Linked DNA regions of Schizosaccharomyces pombe. Changing the gene in region 1 together with any one later gene gives a genetic interaction. Each region holds a gene or a part of one and is shown in the gene's direction. Other genes may lie near its edges.

What was found.
Region 2: mutations in SPOM_SPAC212.04C (region 1) and ppk15 together harm fitness less than expected from each alone (positive genetic interaction), as found in Schizosaccharomyces pombe (one large-scale study listed by BioGRID).
Region 3: mutations in SPOM_SPAC212.04C (region 1) and spf38 together harm fitness more than expected from each alone (negative genetic interaction), as found in Schizosaccharomyces pombe (one large-scale study listed by BioGRID).
Region 4: mutations in SPOM_SPAC212.04C (region 1) and nop16 together harm fitness more than expected from each alone (negative genetic interaction), as found in Schizosaccharomyces pombe (one large-scale study listed by BioGRID).

What each region holds. Positions count from the first base shown.
Region 1 is NC_003424.3:19,570-23,557, forward strand, and holds SPOM_SPAC212.04C (uncharacterized protein), read left to right. Parts: upstream 1-2,017; coding exon 2,018-2,507; intron 2,508-2,562; coding exon 2,563-2,939; 3' UTR 2,940-3,481; downstream 3,482-3,988.
Region 2 is NC_003424.3:2,583,234-2,587,993, forward strand, and holds ppk15 (serine/threonine protein kinase Ppk15), read left to right. Parts: upstream 1-1,939; 5' UTR 1,940-2,521; coding exon 2,522-2,710; intron 2,711-2,757; coding exon 2,758-4,173; 3' UTR 4,174-4,241; downstream 4,242-4,760. Other genes in the region: tom6 (uncharacterized protein), read left to right, coding at 630-669, 708-814.
Region 3 is NC_003423.3:4,402,678-4,406,419, forward strand, and holds spf38 (U5 snRNP complex subunit Spf38), read left to right. Parts: upstream 1-1,752; 5' UTR 1,753-1,883; coding exon 1,884-1,928; exon of another isoform or gene 1,929-1,969; coding exon 1,970-2,074; exon of another isoform or gene 2,075-2,112; coding exon 2,113-2,185; exon of another isoform or gene 2,186-2,234; coding exon 2,235-2,494; intron 2,495-2,539; coding exon 2,540-2,783; intron 2,784-2,844; coding exon 2,845-3,140; 3' UTR 3,141-3,209; downstream 3,210-3,742. Other genes in the region: adn2 (transcription factor), read right to left, coding at 1-170; U1 snRNP-associated protein Usp109, read left to right, coding at 3,294-3,310, 3,350-3,742. UniProt on the Schizosaccharomyces pombe protein: Involved in mRNA splicing where it associates with cdc5 and the other cwf proteins as part of the spliceosome.
Region 4 is NC_003423.3:4,378,397-4,381,871, forward strand, and holds nop16 (ribosome biogenesis protein Nop16), read left to right. Parts: upstream 1-2,020; 5' UTR 2,021-2,089; coding exon 2,090-2,235; intron 2,236-2,357; coding exon 2,358-2,841; 3' UTR 2,842-2,927; downstream 2,928-3,475. Other genes in the region: trp1 (anthranilate synthase component II), read right to left, coding at 1-1,104; chr4 (SEL1/TPR repeat protein1, 3-beta-glucan synthase regulatory factor Chf3/Chr4), read right to left, coding at 3,244-3,475. UniProt on the Schizosaccharomyces pombe protein: Involved in the biogenesis of the 60S ribosomal subunit.

The sequences.
Region 1 (3,988 bases):
AGAGTAAGATAGATAGAATAGAGTAAGATCGATAGAATAAAGTATGGTGATATAAATAGAGATATACAAATACATTGCGAGAATGTAAATAGAAAAATAAACAAGTGACTCTAGTAAATCGAAATAAAAAAAAATGCAAAGTAGCTGGCAGTAAAAGAGTACGTGTATGTAGGATGAAAACAGATGTTTGTTTTTGATAAATATTAGCTTCGTTAAAAAAAGTTAAGGGTACGATAAAGCCAACTGAACGACGTATAGTGATGAATAAGAGGAGTAATAGTAAGAAAAAGGAATGTCAATTAGAAAAAGGAATTTCAAGTAGAAAGATAGAAAAGAGGAAGAGGAAGAGAAAGAGAAAGAGAAAGAGATAGAAGATGAAAATATTGGAAAGTAGATGATGAAATTAGTGCATTCTATTCCACTAAAACAAATCAACTAAATTATTGAAAAAACAGTCGTTACAATTACTGGTGATATATCAGCTGGCAATGAATATGTCAAATAGGAATTGAATACGATAGAGAAAAGTACAACTTTTGTTATTGTTATTGAAAGTAAAAAAATAAAGTAGAGAATAAAGTAGTAACAGATAATGAAACAATAATGAAACAAATAGAGAAAAAGATTAAATTTCGTTAATTAGAAGAGAAAATGTTTGAGTAATAATAAACAAAAAGAAGAGTGATATGTCATGTTGTAGAATGAATATAGCGACAAAAATAGAAAAGTATATGAAGTTGAAATATTATAGATAATGAAAATAATGAATAATGAATAATGAATTAATATATTATACAAGTTTCGCTATTTTGATAGAAAATAAATAAATATACTAAATAAATAAAATGAAAATTAATCAAAGTAAATTAAAATAAAACAAAAAAAAATTAACAAAAATATTAAAACTTAATAAAATAAAATAAAACAAAGTAAATTAAGATAAAACAACATAAAATTCGATAAATTATAACTTAACTTTTTTTTTTTTTTTTTTTTTTATTTACATTTTACTCTTTTAAAGTTTTCAAAAGATCTAAAATAATCTAAACTAAAAAGCTTCTGTTCTAATGGTGTTCTAGATGCCTTATTGTTCATCTAGAACAAAAAAAAAAGGAAGACTAAAAATTAAATTATGCTAACATAAACATTTATGAAAATAGCAAAATAGAAAATGTAGGAAAATAAAATTTTGCTGCATGTTTATATCCTTGGCTGGAATCTTATATCTCGGCCATTGGGGTCTACAAGATTTTAATTATGGCTTTCGGTTTAAAAGTTGAGCCATCGGGAGGTGGTGTCCTTACTTCTGACAGTCTTCCTACACATAATGGAAAAACGGCATTACAGTCAGATGCAACAGTTGGTTCTGACATTCAACAAATAGAATTACAAAATATGCCTACTCCTGTGAAAAAATTAATCTTTATCGTTTTCATGATCATATAGAATGTAATCATCCTTAGCAATGTCATAATTAAGGATTCAAATTATACAATGATAGATGATACAACAATTAAATAGATCTCGATGATGATTTATTAAAGTCTATATTGTTTGCAATACTATAAATAGAGACACAACTGAACATCGTTCCTCAGTTCAGTTATTTAGCTATATCGGTGACCGATACCATTAGACTCCTTATAACAATAATTATAACAATTGTTAGTTAGACATACCGCATACCACTAGTTTGTAGGTCGCAAAAGAAACTCACCGCTATTATACGTATCGTTAAACAGATACCAAACTGCGTAGCTGTTAAATTGTGAAAAGAAAAAGGTTGTAAGGATTACGAGATGCCAACATCATAATGCTTTTCCTAAATAAATGAGACACCTCAGAACGTAAAACATTCACCATTTTGGTTTTTTTTTTAATTTTCTCGTTTATGGCTTAAAATATTTTAGTATATTTTCTTTTTTATTTTCCATAAACCACTCTTTTTAATTTTACTTTGGGGAAAAATACTAGTGAATCAGAAGTCATCAAATTACAGTGCTGTCGTTCTATTCCAATGTCAAATCCAGAAAGCTTGAAAAAACAGGTTGAACCTCCTGGTTACAATGAGTTATTTATGGTGGAAGATGTTTGTAATGTGGACCTAGAGCAGGGACTTGATTTGTGTAAGCCTGAAAAGGTAAACAAACAATCTCAACGATCTCGACAATCCCGACAATCCCTCTTTACCAACACCATTAAGCCTCAAAAAGACAAGATGAATATTAAAACAAATAAAATAAAAGAGTTTTTAAATGACCTTTTTACTGAATTTTCTAAATTCCACAATAGCTATTATCCTAATGGAAGAATTTCTACTCAGGACAAATCTCGATGGGTCTTGCTTATTATTTGGTCTATTATCACTATTTTAACAATAGACAAGAAATTTAAAATAAAAGAGTCATATTTAGAATGGATAGGTGAAAATCAGTCCCACAGTGAAATTTGGGGGCCTATTGTTATTTATGTTGGCTTATTCATACTCTTATTGTCTGCTTTTAACTGTACGTTTCCTTCACACTGAAGCTGTTTTTTCTCTTTACTAATAGTTTATTGTAGACTGCTCCAAGCTTATTATAAAAGCTCTACCGTTAATCAGTATGGTTATAGCATGGGTCGGTGTGGTTATAGCAGCGTTCAGTGTGATTATCACTGCAACAATAGCAGGAGTTATAGCAGCGTTCAGTGTGATTATCACTGCAACAATAGCAGGAGTTATAGCAGCTATGGTTGGAATCTTATATTTCGGCCATTGGCTGGTCTACAAGATTTTAATTTTGGCTTTCGGCTTTAAAATTGTGACATCAGGAGACGTCTGTGTTTCTAACACTCTTCCTACACATAACGGAGAAACAGCATTACATTCAGATGCAACAGTTGGTTCTGATATTGAACAAATAGAACTACAAAATATGCCTACTCCTGTGAAAAAATAATTTTCTTTATCGTTTTCATGATCATATAGAATATAACTATTCTTAACAATGTTCGAATTGACTGTCCTGTCCAAATCATGCACATAAGGTGCGTTCGTTATGAATTTCAATTATGGAACCAACCAGAATCACCTCACAGGTGTTTCATTAACCAAAATTTATTAATTGGTTTTAATTAAGATATTATCACATAATGTTACTAATGTTTTTATCTCTCGTTTTATGCTTAATCAAATACTATGAATGTCATTTACTGCGTTTACAAAATGAATTCTTAATGATACATCATGAATGACTCGTTTCTAAGGTTATGTGTCTGGAAACTTGAAAAATGCAATGTAGTATATGCAAACTGATAAGTCGCTTATTTATTAATTTAATAAATTTCTGAATTGCAAGTTAAATTCTGGTAGCAAAGAATTAAATTATTCAGAGTCTTTCTAAAATCACTGTTTTTATATTGACATCCTCACTAGATTAGCTTTTCAACAATATACTGCTGCTACAAAAAAATAATATTCCTTTTTTCCGCTCGTGCAAACGAAATTTCAATTTGTTACTTCTTAACCCCTATTTAGCAGACGATAGCTATTTATTAATCAACGGATTTTTTTGCCGGGTTTCGAACGAACTGTAAATTAGATAATGACAGGATGTAAGAAGCAAAACAGTATATATCATTTTTTCCTTTATTCAATTAAAATAGCAAAGAAATATTATATATAAAGTTTATACACTAAGTATATTAGCTTTTGAATTACTTTTTAAAATATGGAAGATCTCGCAACTCTTAATAAAGCTAATTCCTGCTAATTCGCTATACACTAAATCTTAATAAACTTGCTTCATTATTTTCTCGATAAATATTTTATTTATAACAGTTTGTTAAATTGACAGGGTCCTTGCTAAGTTTCTATATACAACATAAACATACTATACGAAATAACATTTTTCTCAAGGTATGTAGAGTATAAATGCTCCAACGTGGCACAATTTCATTTCGTTTAGTTTACTAAAAACCCATATTCGCGTCGCACTCACACAGAATC
Region 2 (4,760 bases), 2.6 Mb from region 1:
CTCAGAAATCATTAACGCAGTTGCGGGACAAAAACTGTACATAATCAGCGTCAGGTTGTTTATAGAATTACTTTTGATGAATGAAATACGCTGAACAATTTAATTATGAGGAAGTGATTATATTTTCCATCTAACCAAGTGTATACTCACTTTGCTTCCTTGTCGCAAGCAATTATCTGCTTAGCAATTAATAATCCGAAAAAAATAATCGTTTATTTATTGAAAGTTTTAATTGTCTAAATATTGATGCTCTTGAGATGTACATTTGTTAAGAAAATGAATTAAATTATTCTAACCCCTCCCCCGAAAAAAAAATGAAAAAATACTAAAAAAGATAATGATTATGGAAAATTTTAAAGGAAAAAATTTGTTTCCGCAGCGCTACTCTTGATTATTTCGTAAGACCAAGTAAACTAAATATAAAGCGTTTTGTCTTAAAAAACTATTGCAGTATAGAATGTTTCCTCTACTGCAAAACAAAATCCATACAGCTAGCTCTTAGGGTTATCAATTAGGGTTATTGAAGCCATACATTTTACCTGATCACTGTTTATGGCAGCGATCACAGTCATGTTAAATTACGTTACAAGTCGGTATTTAGCCACGTTCCTTCAACCACTTAGTCAAAAATGGATCGCATTTCTGCTCAAAAAGATATTTTCAAAAAGGGTATGTCCCTGTAAAACTATTAATTTAACATCTTTTAGTCGTCAATAAGGAAAACTCTTCCATTTTCGTGAGTCTTGGCGTATTTGCAGTTTCTGTAGCCATCTTGAAATCCAGACTGGGAAACTTTTTGGTACCACAATTGTAAATGGATGTTTGAATTTCACGGACTAAACGTCTTCAGCTTTGGATTCAGAAAAATATTACTTCATAACGTTGTATGGTTGTTTCATAAATAAAATGAACTCCCAGTTTCAATAAAGGTTCAAAGCTAAACAACATATATCTTTCATGAATATCATTGTGCTTTGTAATTTTTGTTAGCGATCTAAAATTTGAAATATTTATGTTATCTAGTGTCATGCGAAGTACGTAGGAGCATTAGTTGGTAGGAACATTTTTACATATAAGCTAGTTCGATTCTGATATCTTGCGTCTATTTATGTTTCCTTAGATGTTTGAAGTCAATAACCAATATTCGTCCATTCACTACAGATTTTTGTGTGAACATTGGACTAGGAACCATTTCGTTTGTCGTTTATGCGAAAATTTTTATGTACGAATGTAGTCGGCGTGGAGAATGTTTTAACAACGACTCCTTCATTTACAGATAGATGCCAAACAAGAAACGTTTTTCCTCCTTTTAATATCCAACCGGTTACATGGTTGTGCAACATCCAAATATACTAAGTATGGAGAATATCCGTTTTTTCGAAAAATTGCTACTATTCTGAATTAAGGATGCGTACTATTGGTAAACATTGCGCTTGATGTTTCGAATAAGCCTTTCAATGGAAGTTGTTTCTTATTTATCGCGGTTATTGGTATAGACGGATGTTTTGCACCAAATTCATTCGTCTTTTCAAATACGAATTGATTTCGTTGTGGAGAGTAAGAGCAGGAACCTTAATGTAAGCGAAATTATCGCCTTCTTAAGTCATGTCACGGAAACCTGAAACAATATTTAATTATTTAATTGGGATCTAAGATCCAACTATTTAATAATATAAGAATCAAAAGATCCTCTTCTAGTAACTTTTTCTTGTATTTTTTTGCAAGCCAAAGTTTTAATGACGGCCTTTTAATTCATTGATACACTCTATTACGTAATAGATTGAAAATCAGTAAAACTGATTAAGGCATAGCAAGCAATTGTACTTTATTTCAGTCATCGTCAGCGCCGTTACACGCGGCTCACTACAAAGCGGTGTGTCGTCATCCCTTTCCTTCAGATTCCTCTCTATCCTTTAACCAAGCCGCTTTTTTTGGTTAAATCCTTCATCTTTCAATAAATTGCGAAATCTCTCAGTGTTGTTTTTCGTATAAATTTGTAATTTATACGGTGGAGTTGATTAGTTATTCGTTCAACTCGCACTGTGCATATTTATCGGCTTATTTTAGTGAATATTTTCGATTTTCTGCCGAATATTATATTTGTATTTGTAGCTACACGCTATAAACAAGAAAATTAGAAGATTCCTCCAAATTCATATTTTAAGCTTCATATCCACAAGTGTTTCCCTTTGTTCCAGATCGAGATTATCGTAAGCGAAACTAGCTCTTTGTCAGTTGTTCCATTAAATTGATTAGCCGGTTGGTGCGTTCATTTCAAACTCTTTGACTTTTTTCCTTTAAAGCACTTCTTTTTTAGATTCCTTTGGTTAATCTGTCAACTACTACTTTGTAAATAGTATAACTTGTGGTTCCTTTTTGCACTGTTGTGCATCGACTCACGTTCCAAGAGATCACTATTTTACGTTACTTTAAAGTGATTCGAGTGTGAATGAAGGCACTCGTATTCTGCCTATACTGATATATTCTTTGCAATACTTTACAAAAAGGCGTCTCTATTCATATGGATTCGGATTCGCCCATTCTTCCATTATCGAACAATCCTCCTGCTGCGAGGACTCATGATCACTCGCAGCGTAATAATCATGCTCGTCATGTCTCGTCTTCTGGAACAACTTTGTTTGCTCCTGTCAAACCGGCAACCAAGAAATACAATTACAGAAGGGTGTCTCCCCATGGAAGCTATATTAGCGTACGAAATTTTTTACTTGCTCTGCATTTTACTAATTAAACATATAGCCCTTAGAAGCAATGACTGTGAAACTAGCTGATACATATTCAATTTGTAATCCAAAATTCCAGTTTTCTTCCGAACAAAACCCTCGGAGACCACTCACCAAACCCAGTGAAGGAGTTCACAACCATGGTTTTGATAACGTCAATCATGATTATGTATTGTATGTTAACGATTTGCTAGGAACGGATGAAGGCCGTAAATATTTGATTCTCGACACCCTGGGGCATGGCACATTTGGTCAAGTTGCTAGATGCCAAGATCTTAAAACCCAACAAATTGTAGCTATTAAAGTTATCAAAAATAAGCCGGCATTTTATAACCAATGTGTGATGGAGGTTTCTATACTAGAGCTCCTTAACAATAAGTACGATCCAGAAGACAAGCGCCATTTAATTCGTTTATATGATCAATTTATGCATAAAAATCATTTGTGTCTCGTTTTTGAGTTACTCAGTATTAATCTTTATGAGCTTATCAAGCAAAATCAGTTCCGTGGTTTACATTTAAGTCTTGTTCGTTCTTTCGCAACGCAACTTCTATCGTGCACATCTCTCCTCAAACAAGCTCGAATCATACATTGTGATCTAAAGCCGGAAAATATCCTGTTGCAGGATTTATCATCACCGATTGTGAAAGTGATAGATTTTGGTAGTGCTTGTCACGAACGCCAAACAGTTTATACCTATATTCAATCGCGATTCTATCGCAGTCCGGAAGTAATTTTAGGACTACATTATAACTGTGGAATTGATATGTGGTCTTTGGGATGCATTTTAGCTGAACTATTCTTAGGTCTTCCCTTGTTCCCTGGAAATTCCGAATATAATCAATTATGTCGGATTGTTGACATGCTTGGTAATCCTCCCACTTGGATGTTAGAAATGGGTAAAAATTCGAAGAAATATTACAATTCTGGTTTTGTAAACGGTAGAAAAACTTATGAGCTTAAATCGATCGAACAGTTTTCTATCGAAAACAACAAAACAGAGCAACCTGGAAAACAATATTTTGGTGAAAAGACACTCGATGCTATTGTTTTAAATTATCCTCGCCGAAAAACCACACCTAAGCTTACTCCTGAAGAACATGAAGAGAGACTTTGTTTCATCGATTTCATAAAGCAGTTTTTAGAGTTAAATCCTTTGAAGAGATGGACTCCTGACCAGGCGAAAAATCATCCTTTTATCACAGGTGCCTCTTTCAGTCAATACTGCATTGACAAACAAAAACCACTGCTTACAACTCAAAGAACGAGGAACCGTTCTCATACTATTGGAAATCAAGCGGTGGTTCCTCCTTCCTTACAGCGTGCAAGCACTTATGTTTCCAACGAACCTGAAGAATTTGTACATACTCGACCGCTGCCTCAATATTATCCTCCCGCTAATGAGAACGAAAATGTAGATGAATTTTTCTAATGTCATATTTTACGTATAGAAACATTCAAATTTATTTAAAATATTTAATAGGCATGATCCATTCCAAATTTTTTTTTTATGTTGTACCAATTTTCTAATAGCTTTCGTAAAACGTTTTCAATTTTCATAAAGCATTCAAACTTTTGATGATATATACATACTACGAATATTTTCAAAGTTCCTTCGAGGCTTCAATATGCAGTTTTCAATAGTAAATAGTATAAAGCATTTACAAATTTAACGCTATATTTAGCGCTACGGTAAATACTCTATGTAGAGAGGTTTTATACTTTTATGTAGTAGACATTCACAAATCGCCAAAATGAAATCAAGTTCACTTGAAAATGGGACTCTTGCTAATGCGGGTGTTTACGAAGATGATCTAGATAGCGACGAAGAATTGGTCTCAGAAGAAGAATTTGAAAACTTTAATAATGAAGATTCAGAAGACGATGAAGACTCAAACAACGAATCAAAAACAGCTAAAAGTCGTATGTTAAAAATTCTTTTATTTTCTTAATTAATATTTACTCACAAATTTGAAGAGTTAGCTGAGATTCCGTTTGATACATTGTTGAATGCTCAAA
Region 3 (3,742 bases), on another chromosome or scaffold:
TCACAATAATCCTTCTTGATTAAATAATCATATATGTACGAATTCAGTAAGGATTGTGTGGTCCTATCGGCATTATTTACGTGCGGTTGTTTTTGATCTTTTTGTAAATCATGTTTCTGTCCTTGCTGGCTTGGCAATCCGACGCCGGACCTTAAACCTGGATCAGCCATAAACTAGAAATGTGCAGAAGTTAGGTGTTGCGAACGAGAATATGGATCTACAACGATGCACGCTGGCGATATATAATTTTAAAGATCTGCGCACGCTATACTACCGCAACATTTTGTATATCATATTTTCATTTTAGTTTTCTATCAATTACTGAAAATCATAAAATCATAAATGTTATGTTTGAATTTAGTTACAGAGTAAATCAAAACCCTTGAAGAGTAAAACTCTATAGAGGTTTCTTATTTTCCAAGGCAAGTCATGCTCTAAAAACATTTTTAATAATAGTTATTATGTATATATTCGGATTTGAATTATCTAAAATGGGCTATATTAAAATATGGTTCTAAGATGATATACTTTCAATGAATCAACCAGTGGTAATTTCAGATTTTATATATGCAAACTTACTAACTGAAAACTGTGGAATTAAGGGATAGGTGGGTTTAGAAAGTAAATGTAAATTGATATTTCTTCATCCGTAAAAACATCATAATGAATTAAGAATACTATTAGCCGCAGTTTTTTGTAAGAATGCTGTAATTATGTAGATAGTATCAATTATTCTTGTTTTATTTACCTTGCCTTGGAAAATATACATATCTACAGCTTTTTACATAAGTTAGCGATGTAAATACTAAGCACTGGAACTCATATTATCATTTTCTAAAGTTGTTAGAAATGCTTTTAGTAGTAAAGATTTTGGAATGTGTTCACTATTCGAAAACTAGTTGCAAATTGTGTTTTTCAGTAAATCAAGCAAGATGCTTAATTTTGGCACTACAAGTTTTTAGAAAGTACTTACATGAAGATTGGAAGCTTTGCGTAAATTTGTTTAGTTTCACATATTCCACATTTTAGTTTTCTATAATTCATTTTTTATCAAGTAGAAAATTTAGTTTCTCTCTTTCATTGCAAATGCTATAATCCGGCTTTAGAACTACTATCTACTGGATAATCCTTTATTATTGCCATGCTAGATTCCCTGTAGAATTATGGATTTTGATATTAATCAAAAATTAATTTCTTAAAGTACAAATATATTCGACGGGAGAAAGTTTATGAAATTTTGTATGCGGTTATACCTAATCAGTGATTATCTCGTTGTTTATATTTCAATTTTTGAGGCGACTAGAATAGACAATTCAGCCCAGAAAACCGTACATACAATTTTTAAGTAGAAAAATTTGTTAATAACTATACCCAAAAAAAATGTGATTACGCATCTTTAGCTAATGGCAAAATGCTTCTCAAGTGTTTTTGATGGTGGTAAAATCGAGATAGACTAGATATTAAAGCCGCTCGTTAAATATTATAAGACATTAATTGATACTAGTGTTTTTCCTCAAGCACAAACAAGGTCTGTATATAGTATACGGAATAGATATTTCTTACAATTTATTTATACTGTTTAAACGAATTTTAAATGGCTTCCATGAGAAGGGTAAATTTTTAGGGATTTTGCCTGTAATCAAAATGTTGTTCATATAAATTCTACTTTAAGTCCTGTTTATAGGAATGAGCTCATCATTCCTCGTTATTTGAACACCAAAGAAAAGTCCGATTTATTGGTATTTTGGTTGTGACAGAAACCCCTGCGACGATTGTCGATCCGTTTTATATATTTTCCACTCCCGTCCCTGCTATTCATTTTACGTTCTAATTCTGAAAACTGTCAATCAGAAATTGCAGTTATTATATATAGTAAACTGGAAATGGATAAACGAAAGGAATCGGAGAGTGCGACTAATGGACATTTAGTATGTTCGATTGCTAAAAAAACATGCACTAATATAAATAGGTTAAAAGAATTAGAATCCAAGATTCTAGCTTAATAACGGAGGGTTCTGTATTGCAACGAACATCTGATCTCAATGTTCCAAACCTACAGATGTTTGGGCATACGGTATGGTTGTATTGAAATAAATCATACTAACGCTTTAGGCTGAAGTTTTAGTCGCCAGGTTCGATCCTTCTGGATCATACTTTGCTTCTGGCGGTATGGATAGACAGATACGTAAGTGCAGCTGTAATTAAAATGTTGATTTATAATAACTGTGGTTTAGTTCTTTGGAATGTGTTTGGTGACGTTAAAAACTACGGAGTATTAAATGGCTGCAAGGGAGCCATAACTGATTTACAGTGGAGCAGGGATTCACGCGTAGTTTACTGTTCTTCCTCCGATACACACCTCATGTCTTGGGACGCTGTCTCTGGTCAAAAAATCCGGAAGCATAAAGGCCACGCTGGCGTGGTGAATGCTTTAGACGTTTTAAAAGTTGGTTCCGAACTTCTGACTTCTGTAAGTGATGATTGTACTATGAAGGTATGGATATTGTTATTAAAATATGGAATAGTTACTAAATTTAAGGTATGGGACTCGCGGTCAAAAGACTGCATAAAAACAATAGAAGAAAAATATCCCTTAACGGCTGTCGCAATAGCGCAGCAAGGAACCCAAGTTTTTATCGGTGGTATTGACGGAGCTATTAAAATCTGGGATTTACGAAACAATCACTGCTCGCATGTTCTGAAAGGGCATAAAGATATCATTACTAGTTTGGCTATATCTAAAGATGGATCTAGCTTACTTTCTAATTCTATGGACAACACGGGTATGCTAATTTTTTTTGGGTGTTTGATCAACCTTTGTACTAATGCTATTTTAATTTATAGTTCGAATATTTGATGTAAAACCTTTTGCTTCTGCTCAACGACAGTTGCAAATTTTTGAAGGAGCTATTCACGGACAGGAGCATAATTTGTTAGGTGTTGCCTGGAGTCGTAATTCACGATTCGTTGGTGCTGGTAGCTCTGATAAAAACGTATATGTTTGGTCAGCCACAGGCGATTTACGTTATGTATTACCCGGACATGAGGGTTCAGTAAATCACGTTGACTTTCATCCACATCAGGACATCATTCTTTCATGTTCCTCAGATCGAACAATATTTCTTGGGGAATTGAATTAATTTTTATTTCATGAATAATTTTTCAATAAACATTAAATACTATTAAAATTTTCTGTAGAACTTATTATTTGACGATCTTAGTTGTCAAGCCTGTTATAATTCCTATAACTACAAGTTTCTTAGATTTCGATTAATTATCAAATTATATGCGTTATGAGTACATCTTTATGGTAATGATACATCATCTAATCTTATTTCTAATTAAACAGGTTAAATAACTTAGAAGAATGGATGAATGAGGACTATATTCGAGCAATTTTTGAAAATGTTAGAAAAGTAAACTATTATGAAGATGGCGAGTCGGGAGCTATTTTAAAAACTTGCTGCATTGAATTTGAGAGTCAAGATGCTGCTAGGAATGCTTTAGAAAGGCAATCTACTCAACGATTAATATCTGGGAACCCGATCTCTTTAGATGTGGTTCCTGAATGGCAAAAACCTAGTTACTATATGCTTTTCATTAGTAACATTGATCCAGAAGTGTCTGAAAATGATATAAAATACTTGTTTCAACGTTATAACTTTATTTCTGCTCGTGTTCTACGTTGTGTTGACGGGACTTCAACTAGCATTGCTTTCATATGGTTAGCTAATGAAAGTGA
Region 4 (3,475 bases), on another chromosome or scaffold:
CTCAACAGCTTTTCGCGCAACAAACAAATCATTCAATGAGCCTTTGAACCATTTTGGTTCTGTTAACACAGATATGACTGAGGCGCCAACCTGAGCATAAGTAAGAGCTTGGATAGCAGCATTTGCGTCTAACTTAATGTCACCTTTAGAAGGGGAAGCACGTTTGACTTCAGCCATTAAAGCTGGTTTAGATTGCTTTAATCTCTCATAAAAATTTATACATGGAGGTGCTATGTTAAGGTTCAAATATGTTTGCAAATCACCCACAGAAAGACCAGGCTTTCTTTTACTTTCAGCAATGTCAATAAGTCTCTGCGCGTGGATTTTCTCAAGGATAGATTCTTGTTTGCGAATTTTAGTTGAAGAAACAGAATTCGAATTTTCACGCATAGCCGCGTTAAATGCGTTATTTTTTGTAGGCATAACAATGCCATTTTCTTCCCAGGTTCCAGCAGTGAGATTCAAAAAATTCTGAATATACTCTTTGCCATACTCACTAAGGATACTTTCAGGATGGTATTGAACACCCTCAATAGCATACTTTTTATGGCGTGCACCCATTATTACACCATTCTCGGTCCAGCTTGTAACGTCCAAACAATCAGGAAGTGATGAAATTTTTCCAGCAAGAGAATGATATCTTGTTACAGAAATATTTTGAGGTATTCCTTGGTAAAATCCGAGACCGTCGTGATTTATTTTAGAAACTTTTCCATGTATGATTTCACCAGCGGAATCAACTTTACCACCCATTGTCTCAAAAATACACTGAAGTCCCATACACACACCAAGTATAGGAATCTTTCCAGCAAATCTCGAAATAGCCTCGTTACAAATACCACCATCACGCGCAGGATGTCCAGGCCCAGGTGAGAGAACTAGTTTTAAAGGATTAAGTTTTTCTAATTCATCGACAGTGATTTCATCATTGCGAAAAACCATAATAGGATATCGTTTTTCCAGATTAGAAAGATATTGAACAACGTTCCAGGTGAAACTGTCATAATTATCTATCATAACAATTGGTCTTTCAGCAACTTCTTTAACTGCATTTTCTGAGGCGTCTCCTTTGACGCTTTCACCAACGTCAACTTTTTCAGACATTTTCAGCTTGTTATAATTGAGACGTGCTAACGTTAATTTTCCAAAAACTCAAAACCAAAAATGCTGAATGAAAAAGTAGCCGATGATGGCAAATGACAATTTCGACTTTTGAATGATCGGGAAAGATAGTATAGAAGCGATGTTTCTTGCTAATGTATTTTGCGAACTGCAACGAAAAATATATTTGGTTTTAAGACATTGCAACTAAGAAATCATCGCATAATGAACGTTAGCAAATAACGATAACAATCGTTGTACTATTGTACTAGAATTAGCAGGTAAAGAAGAAGTTTGACGAGGAGAAAACGAAATTTTTTTTATACTGGGGTTAGGGAATAACGAAATCATAAAAATAATCTTTAATTAGGCATAAAAAAATAATTAAAAAATTGGTGTTTCAATTGTCGGTTCATTTAAAACTGTTAATATAATAAAGTTGTAAACCAAATGACTAAACAGTGATTTTAAAAGTATCCTATAGCTGTTGTTTACTCTGGTAATTCGACACGTAAAATACATGATTTCTCGACTTCAACAATTCTTGGGAATTTTTAGAAATTTACAGTTAGTGCTAGATATTGGAATGCCACTAAAATTAGTGTATTCGTTGAGGAAGATCAATTTATAAATTTTGTTTCAAGATTTTATTGAAATCTCTATGAGAATATTATATCGTTTCACAATTCATACAGCTTTATAATGTAGACAAAAAAAAGATGAGGGTACTTAAATTTTATACAATACCAAAAGGATTGATGATAAATGTGATAACTGTCAACGTCTATTAATTTGAGAAATATAAATTAAATGGACAACAGTCATTGTTAAACTAGGTCACAGAACTATCTTATTGTGTTTCGTTGAAATATTATGTAGACATACTGCACGTAGTCTACATTCACCTCCACTTAAACTCACGAACAACCAAATTTTTTTGATTGCTTACCAATTTCCATTTCCCCCCATTTATCTCTAAATAGATAAGATGGCAAACCCTAGACAAAGGAATAAGCAAAGATCTGGAAAGCCTCGTTTAACCAGGCGTAATGCTAACAAAAAGGCGAAGGCCAAAATTTACGGAAATTTTGTGATTCAACAAAATTGGGATAAACATGCAACCTTAAGGCAGAAGTAAGTTAATAAGTATTGCTTTATTTGTTTTATACAAATGAAAATTGAGGAAAAAGTTTTGCGCTCCTTCTTGGTCTTATGTTCTTTTCTTTCTTATAGAATTGCTATTAACAAATAAATAGTTATGCGAGGTTGGGTCTTTTAGCTACTCCTAATTATGTTACGGGAGGTGTTGAGAAGCTTTATCCTGATCCTAAACGTGAAAATGAGGATCGTGAGCTTACCTCAGAGGAATTGGATGAATTGAAAAAATCTTTACCACCTGGTCAAGCAATTGTTAGAAGAGATGATGACGGAAATATTATTGAGATTATTCACGGAGAGGCAAAAACACTTGATGATGTTTTAGACAAAGAAATTAGCATTGCACCGGCTAAAACGGAGGTTGTTCGTCAACTAGAAGAAGAAGCTGTAAAAAAAGCAGCTCGACAGTCTAACAAAATGCTTCCTTTAAGTGCATTTGAACATGCATATATTCAAAGACTTATAAATAAGTACGGAACTGAAGATTTTGAAAGTATGGCCAAAGACGTTAAATTAAATTCTAAATTATTTAACGGATCTAAGCTCAAAAATTTGTATATTCGCATGAAGGCTACAAAGTAAACATCAATGGTGATATACGGACGGTAAAATGGTGATTGTGTTCTAGGTATATTTAAATTAATAAATTTTTATTTCAATACTATTAATTCTATTAGAAAGCAAATATTGAGACGACTAATTTGTATGAAACAATAATTACACAGTATGTATTTCTTCGTGATCCAATTTTGTATTATACTATCGAAAAAGTAGTGAATGAAAACATGTATTTAAAAGAAATTGCTTAAATGGATATCAGCTAACTATACAATTATAAATGAGCGTTAGACAATTCGAGGACAAATGAGAGAAATAAAAACCGGATTATGCTATGTGAATGCAATTGAACACTAAAACGAAATTTCGGGGAGAAATCGATTCCAATGATAAAAATGATGTTCTAAGGGAGCAAAAATTGCCAACTTAAGATATAATACACTTGTTATGTTTTATAAGAAACTTTTTAGATGTCTTTTTGGGAACCGAAACCTTTGTAACTTTTGTTTGCGAAACAGGGGGCGCAGAAGTAACAGGGGTAGATGAGACAGCTGGTGCGTGCGGTGGAGAAGTTTCAGAGGCTGTAACAGGTATTTCTTTTATAACGTCTTGATTTGGGTATTGTGATGAAGTTATGTTTTCTGGTTCGGGCTCCTGA